Rhinolophus ferrumequinum: one gene and its partner. The protein of the gene in region 1 purifies or fractionates together with the protein of each later gene. This does not show direct contact. Links are inferred from orthologs where the notes say so. Each region holds a gene or a part of one and is shown on either strand. Other genes may lie near its edges.

Region 1 (7,273 bases):
ATATAAACAAACAAAAATCACACCTTACCTGTATATTGAAAAATGAAACCCAAGAGCTTAGGAGACTATAAAGACACAGTAAGTATCTGGGGGGTAATGGGGAGGGCCAGTGAGGCACATGTGGGAACACCAGGGGAGCCTATGCGCCATGCAGACTTCCCTGCTTCCCAAGTGCACGGACAATTCACCTTCCTTCCCTGGTCCCAACGGTCCAAACAAGCGAGAGAGAAAGGTATAGATTGCTAATTGCATACCCTTCCCCTCCCTGAGATTTTTGTATCCCAAAAGGGATATGAAAATGGAGTAAGATGAGAAAGGCTGATTTTCTGACACACACAATGACATCCTATGCACCTACCTAAGAAGTACTTACTACTGTAGCTATTTCAGTGGCTTTTCTTTTCTCCTCTACACACACAAGATTTTTGCAGCAGGGACCATTCCTAACTCTACTATCTAATCAGCAAATAACATGAAATCTGATCTCCACATTCCAAGTGAAGAGGTTGAAAATGGACCATAATCAGACTGATTCTCACGATAAACTCATTATTTTTAGCCTTGATAAAAATGACCAAATCTTAGCCTCTACCCGAGAAGTAGCTTCATACTCATTTCGCACTTGCCTCTGGGCACCTTAAATTACAAGTGGACACATTACTCTGCATTTCAAAAACAGAGTGAGAAACTTAACGGAACCTTGTGTTTCTCATGGATTGTAACCTCCTGAAGGGATCCCACCAAGCCAGCAGCACCATCCGAAGACCGGAACTCAGAGGCTGGCTGCAGCTGGCGAAGCTGAAGGTTCAGAGCGTTAGGGTGGTGCCTGCAGTGGTCTCGACCGAAAGGAGCAAATTCCTGCAAGTCCCCGGCTGCAATCATTGTTGCCCTGTCTTCATACAAGTTCGACATGGGTTCCAAATATCAACATTATTTCTGTATGAATTGAAACACATTCTGGTCAGATGTTAGAGTCAAACAAAATAAAAAATATCATGAAAGTTTACTAGTCCTTAATTTTTAGGTAAGTGTCACATAATTCTATCACACTGTAGATGTACAAGTGATCATTGTGTCAATGGACATTCCAGATCTGACTTTTTCAGGTAATTGCAGTTATCATTTTACAGTTACACTGTCATTCCATAATTAACATTACAGTTCCTTTTTTGTTGCAAACAGATCAACAGTTACCACTGTAGGAAACTATTGGGATGAGACTAGCACTTACATCCCACAATACCTATCCTATGTTTCCTACCACTATACACTAATTTTTCTATAATTCACATTGAGGTATTTAGACAAGTTGTACTTCATAGTCCGATGACTTCCCAGCTCTCGACATTTAACATCATTTCTGTTCAGATGCTGGAATCTCATTTGAAAAGCATATAAAGGATCACTGGCATATTGAAATGAAACAAACAAGCAAACAGAACTCACGTATTTCTTCTAATTCATCAAAAGTTAAACCACTGCTTTAATAAGCTATCACATGTCATCAGTAATTCTGACACCCCGATCCAACTAAACATATAACCATAATCAATTCCAATTTTTGGTCGAACCTAAGGAAGCTCTGTCCATGAAACAGTCATGCTTGCTTGCAAATTTAAGAGTTCTATCTTCTAGTTAACATAATCTAGTACAGTTCACTTTATCACTACTAGGGTGTGGATGAGCTGTGGGTGGAAACCAGCCCCTCTACTTTCAAAACATTTCTACAAACAGGAAGTGGCAGCCAGTCAAATTCTGACACTGTACAATGTGATGTAGGAGGTGGATGTTAGTTTTGTCTGCGAGACAACACCTATGTGAAAAACGGGTTTTGTGGCATCACATTTAAGCTGCAATCCTCAAACACAGAAATCAAAACAAACACTAATGTCAGCACAAATGAGTATTTGAAATGCATTCACACTAAAAAGAGTTGAATTTAACTTAGTTTCTCCCCTGGGGTCTTTCAGGCTCTTTGCTGCAATATGTCAAGGCCCCTGGAGTCCCCATGCGGCTCTGCAAGCGTTGCATTTATTTTGCTGTTAATTAAACTTTCTTCCTCAGACAACTGTACATGACAATCATGACACTTTTCTCCTCCTGCTAAAAGTCAGTACTGAGAACACTTATACTTGGAATATGACTGAGACAGTGCCTCGGAAGACTTACAAGAAAACAATAAAATTCAGCTGGTCTTCTTATTATATTCTAGTCAACAGGATGACCAACATCTTAAAATTTTGAGTGAAAATTACAAAATTATTAATCATAGAACTATTTTTACAGTACAGTATCTTGTGCTGATTAAGGCAACATGTTTAATACTTTCACTGTACCTCAAACCTGTATGTGTTTACTTATGGGGGCAACGTAAGGAGCCACACGTATAAAAGCACTATATTAAACTGACGTGCTAAGAATCAAGACATCATCAGTGCTCACTAGAAACCAAGCTACCCTCCCAGAAGCGACCGCGAAGCTGGTTCAAGAAGACACCGAAAGGCCCTGCGAAGGCACCCCGAGTTGAGTCTCCGCAAAAAGGCAGAGCTTCCTCCGCCTCTTCAGGTCTTCAGGGGTCAGTGAAAACAACACGCTGAGAACCTGGGCCTCAGAAAGCCCCGTCGCAGGGGAAGGGGCCCATCTGGGAGCTGAGGCCGCACGCGGACCCCGCGTGCAGCCCGGGGAGGCGCGCCGGAGAGCCCAGCCCGCAAGCTGGGCTGCCCCCGGGCGCTGGGTCCTCCCTTCCGGTCCCGCACCGTCGGCCTCGGGACAGGTGCGGGGGTCAGGGGACACGCGCTGACCTGTCGCCGCCGGCCGGGCCCTTACCTGAGTAACTCAGGACGCGTCAGGCGCGGCGAGCCCCGGCTGCTCCCCGAGGGCAGCGGCAGAGTCGGTCACCGGGACTCCTCGGCTGCTGCAGCTTCTCATTCCCCCCTCCTTCCCTACTCTGGAGGAAGAGTGAGCAGCACCTGAGGAAAGGCGGGCGTGAGGCGAGAAGCTCTGGAGAGTTCAAATGGAGGCGGCCATCTTGGCTTCCCGTCGTGCTTCGCGCCGGGCCAAGCAGGAGCAGGACCTAGCGGGGCGGGGCCTCAGGGGCGGAGCCTCACCAGGAGGCGCGAAGCTGCGGTCCTTTGTGCAGTGAGTATCAGGAAGGATGCTGGGGCCTACCTGCCAGGGTACCTCCTTCTTAGGGCAGCGGCCCAGCCTGGAAGCAGGACTATTGTGACAAGACCCTCCTGGCGTTCACATCTTCTCCAGTCGTGTCAGTACGAGTCTGAACTGCCTCCTAACTCTGAACTAGGGGACTTTCCTGCTAGTTATACTGACTCCCCAATGGGAGGTACCTGCCTCTCCAAGCTTGGAGAAGAGAAGACCTGCTGATTTTCTCTCTTTAACCATGAGGGGCCTGAACCCTTTGAAAAGTCTATGAAAGATATGGATGCCTTCACGAAAACGTTGCCTGCGATTTCTGAGCTTCCCAGACACCCCTGCCCCCCTTACTGCCCCCCCATCCCCATGATTCCTAGACCTGGGTTAAGAAGCCCAGCTCTACCCAGCCCTCCCTGTCTGGATTTAACTGCACAATATCACACTTAAGGAAACTAGAAAATTTCCTTGAGTTCTAATCTTCTTTTGCGCAGTATCTCTGGGTTAAAAGTATTGATAGGCATCCTGTTGCCTAAGGAATAAAGTTCAAATTCTTTATCCAGAAATGTAAAATTGGCTGAAACTTCTTGTCTGCACTAAAGTGGTCTCTTGGAAGTCCCCAAACACACCTTGCACTCTGAGGCCTTGGTGTGTGTGTTCATTCTTGTCCCTTCATTAGCAACGTCAACCTTCAGAGGTTAGCTCATAGGCCTCTTCTCAGAAGGCTTCCCTCCCAGAGGAAGGAGCCTGCTGAGGAATGAATGCTGTGTCCCCCGAGATTCTTATGTTGAAACCTAAAGCCCTGTAAGATGGTGCTTGGAGGTGGAACACTCAGGAGGCGCTTAGGTCCTGAGGGTTGAGCCCTCATGAATGGGCTTAGGGCTCTTATAAAGAAAAGGACTCCCTGGAGCGCTTCCACCAAGTGGGGACACAGCAAAAGAGACAGCCGTCAATGAGCCAGAAAGTGAGCCCTCGCCAGATGCTGAATCTGCCAGGGCCATGGTCTTGGTTCCTCTCTCCTCCCACCAGCTGCCTGGTGGGGTAGAAATACACTTTTCACCTGTTTGTTGGAATCGTAGAGGAAAACATTTATGCTGTCCTTACATTTTGCTAATTTTGACTGTTTACCTCCCTAGGTATCCTGTGATACAGTCAGCTGAACTGTCTTTGCAGACCTTCTCCAAGCCTTATGCATCATCACATTTGGTAGACTGGTTTGTACAAAAAATGGTGTGTGATTAAGGTATTGGATACATTTCTCTGCAACGTGTCCTCTCACAGAGCACAGCGAACCGTGTGGTAGGTGGGCCAGGTCAGGAGCTGTGGCCTTATTCATCTCCTTAATAGTCCATAAAGGAGGTCATTTTTCTCAGCGAATCAGCCTTTTACTGCTGTTGGACCTTGACATGGTTCAATTCTGCTGCCATTTCCACAGTGCTGTCAGGAACCTCTTCCCTGTGTCCCAACAGACTGTGTTAGTGTGCGAGGGCCGCCATAACATGAGCACAGATGGGGTGGATGGCCCCCGATACAGATCAGAGCCAGGGGGAAGGCAAGAATGCCAAAGGGTTTCCACTGCAGGACTGGGAAGCTCCTGAATGCCGATCCTGCAATACTTGTATATGTGATGCAGCCGAGGGGGGACAACTCCACATTTCTGGGCACCCAGTGGCCCAGCGTTAACTGACAGTCACTCCGAAGAGATGCACATTTGTAGCAAGGGTGGCATATCACTGAAATCTGGCTTTTCTACATTCTTCAGCTCTGAAATCTGCTTGGTTCTTTTTTTCACGTTTTTTATGTTTTCTGTCTGTTTGTTGAACTCGATTTGTTCTTGTACTGTTTTCCTTCTGTTGTCAGATTGTTTACCTGTGTTCTCTGAGCTGCTGTAGAGTGATTATTCCGACACCTTCTTCACTGTACCAAGGCAGTTGAGTTTCATTTTGTGTGCTGTGCCTTTTGGTCCATGTCAAAACCAATCCAGCAAACAAGCTGTTAGAGGACTTTGTACCCCCTTGAGATATGACATTGAAGACCATGTCTGCATAATGGGCCCCAAGCAGTATGTTGCACCTAATCCAACTGCATGTTCCTTCCACTGTCATCCCAAACCCTTAACATCTCATTTCTCCACAGTTTTCCTAGATTTCTGTCTGTGTGAACTGGGGAAAGGGTGCAGCTCGTTTGGAGTGTAGCTGAAGTCCTCGTGGGTCACAGTCTATACCGCACTCTTGGAACCTGCTGGAAGCTGAGTCTGCTAACAAGTCTGGAAGCAAAAAGGGCTGTGGGCGCAGGTCCTGAGCAGGGTAATAGAGCCTTGCAAGGCAAGTACCTCGGGGGTGATCCTTGTGGATTTAGGAGAAGCAGAGGCAAGCTCCTCAGGCAGGAGTGGGAGGGCTTCTTCTGCACAAAGAAGCCTGCACAGTCTTGGAGTTCAATGTCCCCGCTTAATCAGGAACCACCCATGTGTCCCCATTCCAACTTTTAGGACCCTATTTCTTCTAAATCATCGCTATCACTTTCACTGCCATGTGGACAGACATTCAATTTTGGTTGTAATTCACCCACTTGCAGGATGAGACTGAGTTAGGTTTTCAAACATCTCAGCGCTAAAGTTATATTAGTGCTCAAGAGTTTCAGGGAAGATATAGAAATTTCTCGGCATTTGAGGGGCGCTTGCGTTGGAAATTGAACACCTTGAGCTCACCTTTTTCTTATTCAATCAAGTGCAAGTAGGAGCAATCACCTAATTTTGCCACATTTGTTAGTTTGTAAAACATGATCTAAAATATCAAATTCATAGTCACCTAGAACCTTTTTAAAAATACATATTTGATTAGGAATATCCATCCAGTGGTGATCCTTTGTATATCTCTATTACCACCTTGTACTATGGACTGTCAATGCCTTCTTCAACACTGGCAATACGGTCATTTGTGCCTTTATATTTAATCAGATTCGAGAACCAATTCCAGAAGATCCAGGATTGCTTGAGAAAACACATCTTTTAGGTTCTATTCCTCTAGAACCATCCTGTTTACCAAAACCTGTATCCATCAGACTTCTCCAGAGAGAAAGAACATGTATATTTCTAGCATGAAGATACGTGTGTGTTTATACATATATGTATGTATGCACATGTACATACACAGAGAAACGCATATAAAGAGATTTATTTCATGAAATGATTCTTGTCCTTATGGGGCTCGGCAAGCCTAAAGTCTGTAGGGTAGACCAGCAGACTAAAAGCTCAGCAAGATTTTGTACTGTGATATGAGGCATAATTTCTTCTTCATCAAGAAACCTCAATTTTTCCTCTTAAGGATTTCAGCTGAGTACAGACCCACCCCCATTTTCAAGAGTAACAACCTCCAAAGTCAATTGATTGCAGATGTGTTTGGTCAGATAACTGGGTACTATAGCCCAGTCAAACTGACACATAACACTAACCATCAGACGTTGCAAGAGCTCTTTATCTGTATAAGTACTAGACCTTTCACGGATCTCTGCTTTGCTAATATTTCCTCCCATTGCATGGGTTGTCCTTTCCCACCTGATAGTGCCCTCGGAGACACGATTTGGGCATATTTATGAATTCCCACTTACCTTGTGTCTGTCATTGCGTGTGCTCTAGAGGTGGTACCTAAGAATCTATCGCCAAGTCCACGATCGTTTGTGATATGTACTCCTTTGTTTTCTTAAAATTTTATAGTTTTACCTCTAAAATGTAGGTTGTTCTCCCAAAGGTGGCGCTAAAGCTCAAGTTTGCGGTCTCTCCCTGGCCGGGAGACAACGGCCAGCTTTCCCCGGGAGCTCGGAGCCCTCGGCCTGAGCTCGATCTTGCCGCGGCGGGTGGAGGGCACAGAGGGCGCTGGCCGCGGGGTGGAGGGGGTGGGCGAGGCAGGCGGAACACTAGCGGTGCCGCGCACCCACCGGGGGTCCCCGGGCAAGGCAGCTAATAGGATCCGCATCCCTTTCGTGTCCTCCCAGAGTCCTACGTGCAGCAATCCCTGCCTCTTCCCGCCTCCCTCATGCCTTTCACAAGTCAGTCCTCTGGATGGGCCAAGAGAGAAGCCAGCCCCTGGGGTGCAGTCCCGAGCGGCTGGGGAAGCCAAACTTGTCGTAT
Region 2 (7,744 bases), on another chromosome or scaffold:
AGAAACTTATGAAAGATAAGGGTTATTTTAATAAGGTTTGTTTGTGCAGACCCAACTTAGTGCAAATCTGTCTCCAGTGATAACAGTTGTTTGCCTTCTGCTGGTATAGAAGAGGGGAGAGAAACACCTTCATAAAGGGAAATTTATATCCTGCTTTTAAGCAACTAGGGGAGGGAAAAGAGCTCTCTCTGTGTTTGCTGTTTCTTAATTCCTTTCAGCTCAAAATAATCCTTATGCCAAAGTGGAATGTTCTAATCTCTTCACTAGAATGTAGAGTAAAAGAGGGAGACAGGTGAGATAAAGCTGAATAAGGAGGCAAGGCCTAGACCTTAGAGGGCCTTACAAGACAAGTTAAAGGGTTTGGACTACATCCTCAGAACAATGGGAAATCCTGAGTTATGGCGTAAGGTTTAGGGAGGGGAGTTCTGACACGATCAGACTTATTTTTGGAGGTAGGTAAAACTGGAAGCAGGAAGAGACATGAAGGTCTATTTAGGAGGTAAAGTTAATAGCTCTTTGTGACTACCGTGTTTCCCTGACAATAAGACCTAGCCAGACAATCAGCTCTAATGCATCTTTTGGAACAAAAATTAATATAAGACCCGATCTTATTTTACCATAATATAAGACCGGGTCTTATATAGTATAATATAATATAATATAATGTAATGTAATGTAATGTAATATAATATAATATAATATAATACCAGGTCTTATATTAACTTTTGCTCCAAAAGACGCATTAGAGCTGATTGTCCGGTTAGGTCTTATTTTTGGAGAAATATAGTATATGCTAGGGTTAAAGAAAGAGAGTGGTCCAGGTTTGGACAGTGGAGAAGAGGGTGATGCCTTAAACAGGGATAGGAAATATTTCAAGTTCTATGTGGCATGAGGAGTTTCCCTGAGGACAATGTACCTGTGAGATATTCGGATAGAGACACCCAGTTGACAACTAGGCATTTGGGTCTGGAGTTCTAAGAAGCAGTCTGGCTGGAGATACAGATTTTGGAGTAATTTTAGATGAAAATTATGAGAATGGATGGGTTTGCCTAGGAAGAATGTGTAAGGTGAGATGGCCTAGAACAGAAGCATTCTAATGTTAGAGCGGCTGCCAAGGAAACGGATAAAGAACAGAGCAGTAGAAGGAAAATGAGGAGACTGTGTGATCAGAGATGACAAAGGAAAGGGATAATTTCACCAAGAGGAGCCAACGTGGGGGGCGGAAAGAGCCTCAAGGTCATGTTATATAAGGAGGATAAAAGGCAGCATGCAACAGGGACAAAAGAAGGGGACAGATAAGGAAGACTGAAGGAATTCAGAATTCAGAATTCAGAGGTAAGCTTACTCTGGGCTATATTTCAGTGGTACCTGCATCTTGCCAAAGATACCATGTCTAGCTTCTTGAATAGTTTCCTAAATGCTGGCCTCAAAATCTGATGGAACACAAAACAGACCAAGAGGCAGGCTAAGGAGGAGAGATAATTTACCATGTTTGGGATAATGCTTATTGTAACCAACTCCACTCACCAGTGAAACATATATGGATAATGGATGACAGCAGGATGCCCAAGTGCTTGCTGGATGGTGAGTTTAAGTAGGTCAATCAGGAACAGAGAAAGAAGTAAAAATCCTCTAAAAGATCGCATCAAAGAACAACTTCAAACAATGTGGTCTTGCTGCGCACATAGAAAACTACAACAGATGTGTTAGCCCACTGAACAATAGTCAAAAAAAAGATGCCCTTTTTTTTGGGGGGGGGGCAAAAACCTTTAGGCAAATTCTAAGCTTAAGAGCCAGAGTGCCAAACATCACAGACTGTTTAAATGCTAACTCTAGATACACATATTCACACACATAGCAATATCATCTTTATGGATCCTGTATTTTAAGTTCCTTCATTTAAGTTTATAAGAATTCATTGCACAAGTGTAAGACTTGGGTTGGCAGCACATTCTATGGAAAAAGAGCTGTGTTTGTAAAATGAACACAAGCTTAGCATGAGTGAAGTGTCATGTGACTGCTAAGAAATGCAAATACCACTTGAGTCTATTTTAATAGAAGTGTCCAGATAATAAAGAAGTAGTTTTACTGCATTCTGAATTAGAATAAATCTGGAGAGTTGTGTCAGTTAAATGCATCAGATTTTAAGAATAATGTCTTACCCTTTCCATTTCCACTACCAGATTTTCTCATCTTGTACCTGGTAGATGTACAAAGATGGACTAATTATCAAATGCTCTCATCGCACATGCCTTTTGGAATTTCACTTTGCCATAAATTCTCCCATGAAGAAGTGGAGTCTATTTCTCCTCTAGTTGAATGCAGGCTGGCCCTGTGTCTTTCACCAACAAGAAGTGACGGGGTTTGGACCTAGGTCTTAAGGGGCCCAGGTCTTACCGGCCTAGGTCTTAAGGGGCCCAACAGCTTCTGCTTTCATCCTCTTGGTTGCCAACCACCAAGTCAAGAAGCTAGAGCTAAACTACTGACTGATGAGAAGCCAAGGTTGAAAGAGAGCTGTGGAGAACTGAGGAGCTCAGTCAGCAGCTAAGACCAAGTCCTCAAACATGTGAGTCCTTGCATCTTTCAGCCCCAGTCAGACCAATGATGGTAATATTCTTTACCTGTGCTATCCAGTATGGAGGTCAGCCACGTGTCTATTAAGTCCTTGGAATGTGGCCAGGGCATCTAAAGAACTTCATTTTTAATTTCACTTGAATTTAACTAAACTTTAAAATAGCGAGTAGCTACCGTACTGGACAGTGTAGAAGACTATTGCCATTCAAATTCACCCAGCATAACCCTGTTAAAAGAACAGATCACAGAAAATCACCTTAGCACCTACCCTTTATGGGGCTACAAGTACATAAGCAGTGATTACAGATGGCTGGTGGACATGCCAGTTGCTTTGTCGACTAGTGTTTAAAAAAAACAGTCACACAAAGGAAGAGAGTGACCCATTCTAATCTGATTTCATCTGTATAAAATAAGAACCAGAAAGGGAAATTTCCATACAGTGGAATATACTATGAGTACCACATGTAACCTAGAAATGTTCTAACTAGAAAATTAACCTTCTGGTGGCTCAGATGGTTGGAGTGCCATGCTAACGCTGAGGTCGCCAGTTCGATTCCCACGGGGGCCAGTGAGCTGTGCCCTCTACAGCTAAGATTGTGAACAAAGGCTCTCCCTGGAGCTGGGTAGCCGTGAGCAGCTGGAGGTTGGTGTGGGCTGCCGGGGCTGCAGCGGGCAGGCTCCCGCAGGCTGCTGTGCGGCCGTGGGCTACCGTGTGCTGCCAGGCGCGGCCCGTGGCCAGCGTAAGTGGCCTATAGCCATTGTGAGTGGCCGGCGGCCGGCAAGAGCTGCTGTGAGCTGCCGACTGACGACTGGCAACCGACTGCCTTAGCCGGGGGAAGCACCAGGCTCATAACACCAGCCTGGGCCAGGGAGCTGTGTCCTACCCAACTAGACTGAGAAACAAGGGCTTGAACCTGAGTGGGGGCGGGGAGGTGGAAGAAGGGGGGAAATTAACCTTCAAAAATGATATTTCTCATCTCCTGAAAAACAAAGTTTTACTAGTTCTCTGGTTCACGTATTTTTTGGGGGAAGGGGCATAAAAGTAACTTGAGAGAGCCTACTGCATTAGACAGCCACATACATTAATATATTCATCTTATTTTTTTCAGACTAAGAACATGAAGTTCAGAGAGTTTATAACTTGCCTAAGGTCCTAAAAATACGTAGTAGCGCCAGAGATTAAATTCAAAAGCAAGCCTCTGCCTTTCCAATCCCACACTCTTTCCAATACACCAGAATGCCTCTGCAATCAAGAATAAAAATTTCTGCCTGTCTTTTGAGATTGTCCATGATCTGGTCACGTAATATTTCCAGTTAATGCCTTCACTCTTAACAGACTGATCTCATTTCTGCTTTCCTTCACTTTCCTTTTTTTCCCCTTCTCATTCTAACCGTTCTTCAAATCCCAATTTATCCCGTTTTCCTTCTGTGAAAAGTTCCTCATCTTAATCCCAATTAATTTCCCTCTTCTCTGAATTTTTACATCATTTCTAATGGGCCCCACACAAGGTAGCAGCACTTTTCCCTTAAATAGACTGTAATCTCTTTGAGGACAGGGGCCATACTAAAACTTTGAAGGATGGAAATTTCCTATTTCCCTCTAAGCTATGAAGAGATACTTCTGGAATGGATAAATGACCTGCATTCAATAGGCAAATACTTCATGATTAATTAAACTCAGCCTCAAACTCCCGAGTTTTACCCTTTGCTTAATCGACCGCACACGAATTAATCCAGAAAGCTGAGCGGCGAATCAAGACGGCAGCCGGGCCACGTAACGATCCCCTCCAGCTCCAGCACGACACGCCCAGCCCGCTGGGTGCTGATTGGGCGTGGCCCAACCGAGGGTGGACGATTGGGCGTGGCGTGCGTGAGTAGAGGCGGGGCCGAGAAGAGGAACCTATGCTCTGGGTCAGACTCGGTAGTCTCCGACAATTCTCGACAATTTCCGGCAACGGTCTCCTCCTCCGCCGGTTCGCCTCGGGTTTTTCCGGCCTCCTTCGGGCTTTTCCGTCTGGCTCCCGCGCGGATCTCTTCACTTCGGGTATTTCCGTGTCCCGCTCGGAGGTGCTCGGCAATCGCTCGGCCGCCCCCATCCCCCGGTAACGGTCGCTGGTGAGTTTAAATGAGCCGGGGCTGGCCGGGCCGGAGCCGCTACGGGGGGGGGCCTGAGGCACTGCAGAAAGTGGGTTTGAGCCTCAAGGATGACGGTGCTGCAGGAACCCGTCCAGGTAATGATAACCCCCTTCTCTGAGGCTTGGCTCGCGGCCCCAGTCGGGAAGCCGCGTATGGCTACTCCGCGGCCTGGTGCGGCCTAGGCCCGGCTGCTTCTCCCGCCTCTCCTTATGCCCGGTCCTGCCTGTCTTCTCGTCAGTTCGGAGGCCTTGCCCACAACCTAAGCCGTGTTATCTCTGGGCCTACGTTACTTCTGCCCCTAGTGTGAGCGGCATTCGGCGATAATACCTTCCTTTCCGAGCCGACGTCCGGCTAGCCCTCCTGTCAGTCTAGGGGCCTGGTCCTGGCTGGGGTGAGAGATGAGGGTGGGCGGAGGGTGGCGGGGGAAACTCGCCCCAGGTGCTCTGTTACCTAAAGGATGATTGGGAAGCACATTTGATCAGAGCTTGCGCGGTCTTCATAATGGTGGGGCAAGTTGGTGAGGGGGGTGGTGGTGGTTCGGTTTGGTTTTTGTCTTTCTGTGAGAGGTTGGAGGGATCGGTATTTTTTATACTAATTTCTATTTTGGTAACAGACTGAGTAGCCCACGTTGCTTTTCTCGTTCCGTGAATTTCCCACTGAACAATAATCTGAGAACTCCCAAGGCCTAGTGCTGAGGTGCAAGCACCTATACAAGGGGAGAGGGTGGAAACGGCAAATCGGGGGTTTTTTCCTTGGCCTCTGATGGGGATCAAGAATGTTTCAGTTCACGTTTATAAGGCGTCCAGGAAATGAAAGACCAAGAATGGTTTTTCCGTCTGTCTCACTGCCCTTACCACACCAAGGTATGCTTTGACGCACGCTGCTCTGTTGGCATGGAAGAAGCCCGATTGGATTTGAAGTGTGCGATGCAGTGCCAAGTCATTTCCCCCCTGCCATCTGAAGGAACTGAATCTTTTGTCCCTTGGTGATGGACCAGGTCTGGTCTGGGAGACTTTCGATCCACCATTTGATCTTTGACTTGATTTAAAAAGTTGACCTCTATCAACTACTGTCATTGAGTCATGGACTTTCTTTATTTTGAAGTTATAAAGCAAATCGAGTTTAGAAGTTAATTCATATTACCCTTAATAGGCCTGTGATAGCAAATAGTAAATATTTTAATACATTACCCCTTCGTATTACCTTAATTCTTCTTCACCAGATGAAATACCAATTTCTTCTAGTTGGCTTCTTCTCTAGCCCTTTACATATAGCAGCTATTATTGGTTGAATTAATATAATATAGGATTCTAGTTTAGGAAATTCACCTGTTTGTAAGTTGTACTAGTGCTTCCAAAGCTATTTCTTAACATCCAGATTCCTCTTACTAGTAAAGAGTCCCTTTTAAGATTGTTTTTTTTTTTGAGGCCTAACATGAAATTAGAAGTTGCTATCTGTACCTTAAATGGATAAGTAGATCACTCAGTTGTTTAATTTGTCTCATATTCTTGTAATTTTGCCTTAATAATGGATACATTTGCCTTCTCTTACCCCAAAAGGCTTCTAAAATGATAAGCTAGTTGTATTGCTAGCTTATAACTACTATTTAATAATAATTTCAACTTGTATAAAAATGTGGAGAAGAAAAGAAATATATAAGCTATTCCTACACAGTATTCCTCAGGTTTCCTTTTTTTTTTCCCTTAAACTACTCTTGGCAGTAATACACTTAGGTATTTTTAAGGCTTAAAAGTCAAATTTGTTTTTTTTGGGGTTTTTTTTCACACTACCTTTGGCCCATTAGATTCAGGGATGGTGGTAAGAAGCTTTCGGATATGGCTAGGTGAGAATTTTGGTTGTGACTTATAGTATACAAGTAAGATACCATTCAGGAAGGGATCTGGAGCAGTGGGAGGAACAAGCAACTTTGGCTACAGTGATAAAGATCAACTTTAATCAGGAATAGTGCTGAAAATGGAAAGAATTAGGAGGAAAATAAAAATAGGACAGATAAATAAGGTACTATTTTTTTTGTTAACTGGCGAGTGATTGTATGCATATGTATAGGAATGAGAGTAAGATGGAAAGTTGTTTCCTTTCTTGGCATAACTCAAGGTATTACTGGGCATAGGAAAAAGTTGAGAGAAAAGGTGAGCAACTGTTTTCTGCTTTTTTTTTCTTTAAAATTTTAATGTGGGGTACTCAGTGTGATATACCATGTAAGCCTAAATATAAGCTCCTCCATATTATTTCTCGTAGTAAAAGTGTTATTTGTCTGTGGGGGCGCAAAAAAACCAACTTTTGCCCCACCTTCTGTTTTCTTCTAGCTGGGCTAATTATCAGATTAACATGAGACAGGTTAACAGGAGAAAATGTCCAAATTTTATTACAGATGTGCATGACGGGGTGTCATAAAAATGAGACATGAAGACACATTGGACAATTGAGGTTTATGTGCCATTTTAGACAAAGGTGAAGTGGAGCAGGGGTCTGGGATTTCAAAGGAAAGTAGGCAATTCACAGGTAGACAAGAAAGAGCAAACATGTGGTAAACAAATTCTTGCTGGGCTACCCAGAAACAATGGGTCACAGAAGGAAGCTCAACAAACAGGCTTTGCTAGGCTTCTCACTTTCTTCCACATTTAGTTTATATTGAGGCTAAAAGAAGGTGATGCTCCCCTTCTTTTTCTATCTGAATTCCTTTAGACAGGTAAGGGGGGAGAGTCAAAGGTTCTGAGTCTTTTGTTTCTTAATAACCAGCTTAAAATCATTATGCCAGAAGGCATATTTTGGGTTGGCAAAACTTTGGTTCCCCTCAAATCTTTACAAAAACCTCTCCTATTATGAGACAGAATTCTGTTAATTATTTGTAATATAACTTTGGGAAAGAAACTCACATAAATGAGTTCAATCAGTGCTAATTTGGATGTTTATAAAATTCACCTGATGAAATTGATCTAAAAAAGCAAACACATTTTAATAGATTTATCAATTATTCCTGGGAGTAGGGATTCACAGTTAGAAGTGTTAGATG

What was found. The genes of interacting proteins can lie anywhere in the genome.
Region 2: the proteins of ANAPC1 (region 1) and CDC27 purify together in Homo sapiens (affinity purification with mass spectrometry; 16 studies listed by BioGRID and IntAct, with this or other methods). This does not show direct contact. The link is inferred for Rhinolophus ferrumequinum from reciprocal best matches to the Homo sapiens genes ANAPC1 and CDC27.

What each region holds. Positions count from the first base shown.
Region 1 is NW_022680356.1:579,420-586,692, reverse strand, and holds the start of ANAPC1 (anaphase-promoting complex subunit 1), read right to left. Parts: upstream 3,039-7,273; 5' UTR 2,827-3,038; intron 937-2,826; 5' UTR 913-936; coding exon 700-912; intron 1-699. UniProt on the Homo sapiens protein: Component of the anaphase promoting complex/cyclosome (APC/C), a cell cycle-regulated E3 ubiquitin ligase that controls progression through mitosis and the G1 phase of the cell cycle.
Region 2 is NC_046304.1:41,231,182-41,238,925, reverse strand, and holds the start of CDC27 (cell division cycle protein 27 homolog), read left to right. Parts: upstream 1-4,639; 5' UTR 4,640-4,778; coding exon 4,779-4,805; intron 4,806-7,744. UniProt on the Homo sapiens protein: Component of the anaphase promoting complex/cyclosome (APC/C), a cell cycle-regulated E3 ubiquitin ligase that controls progression through mitosis and the G1 phase of the cell cycle.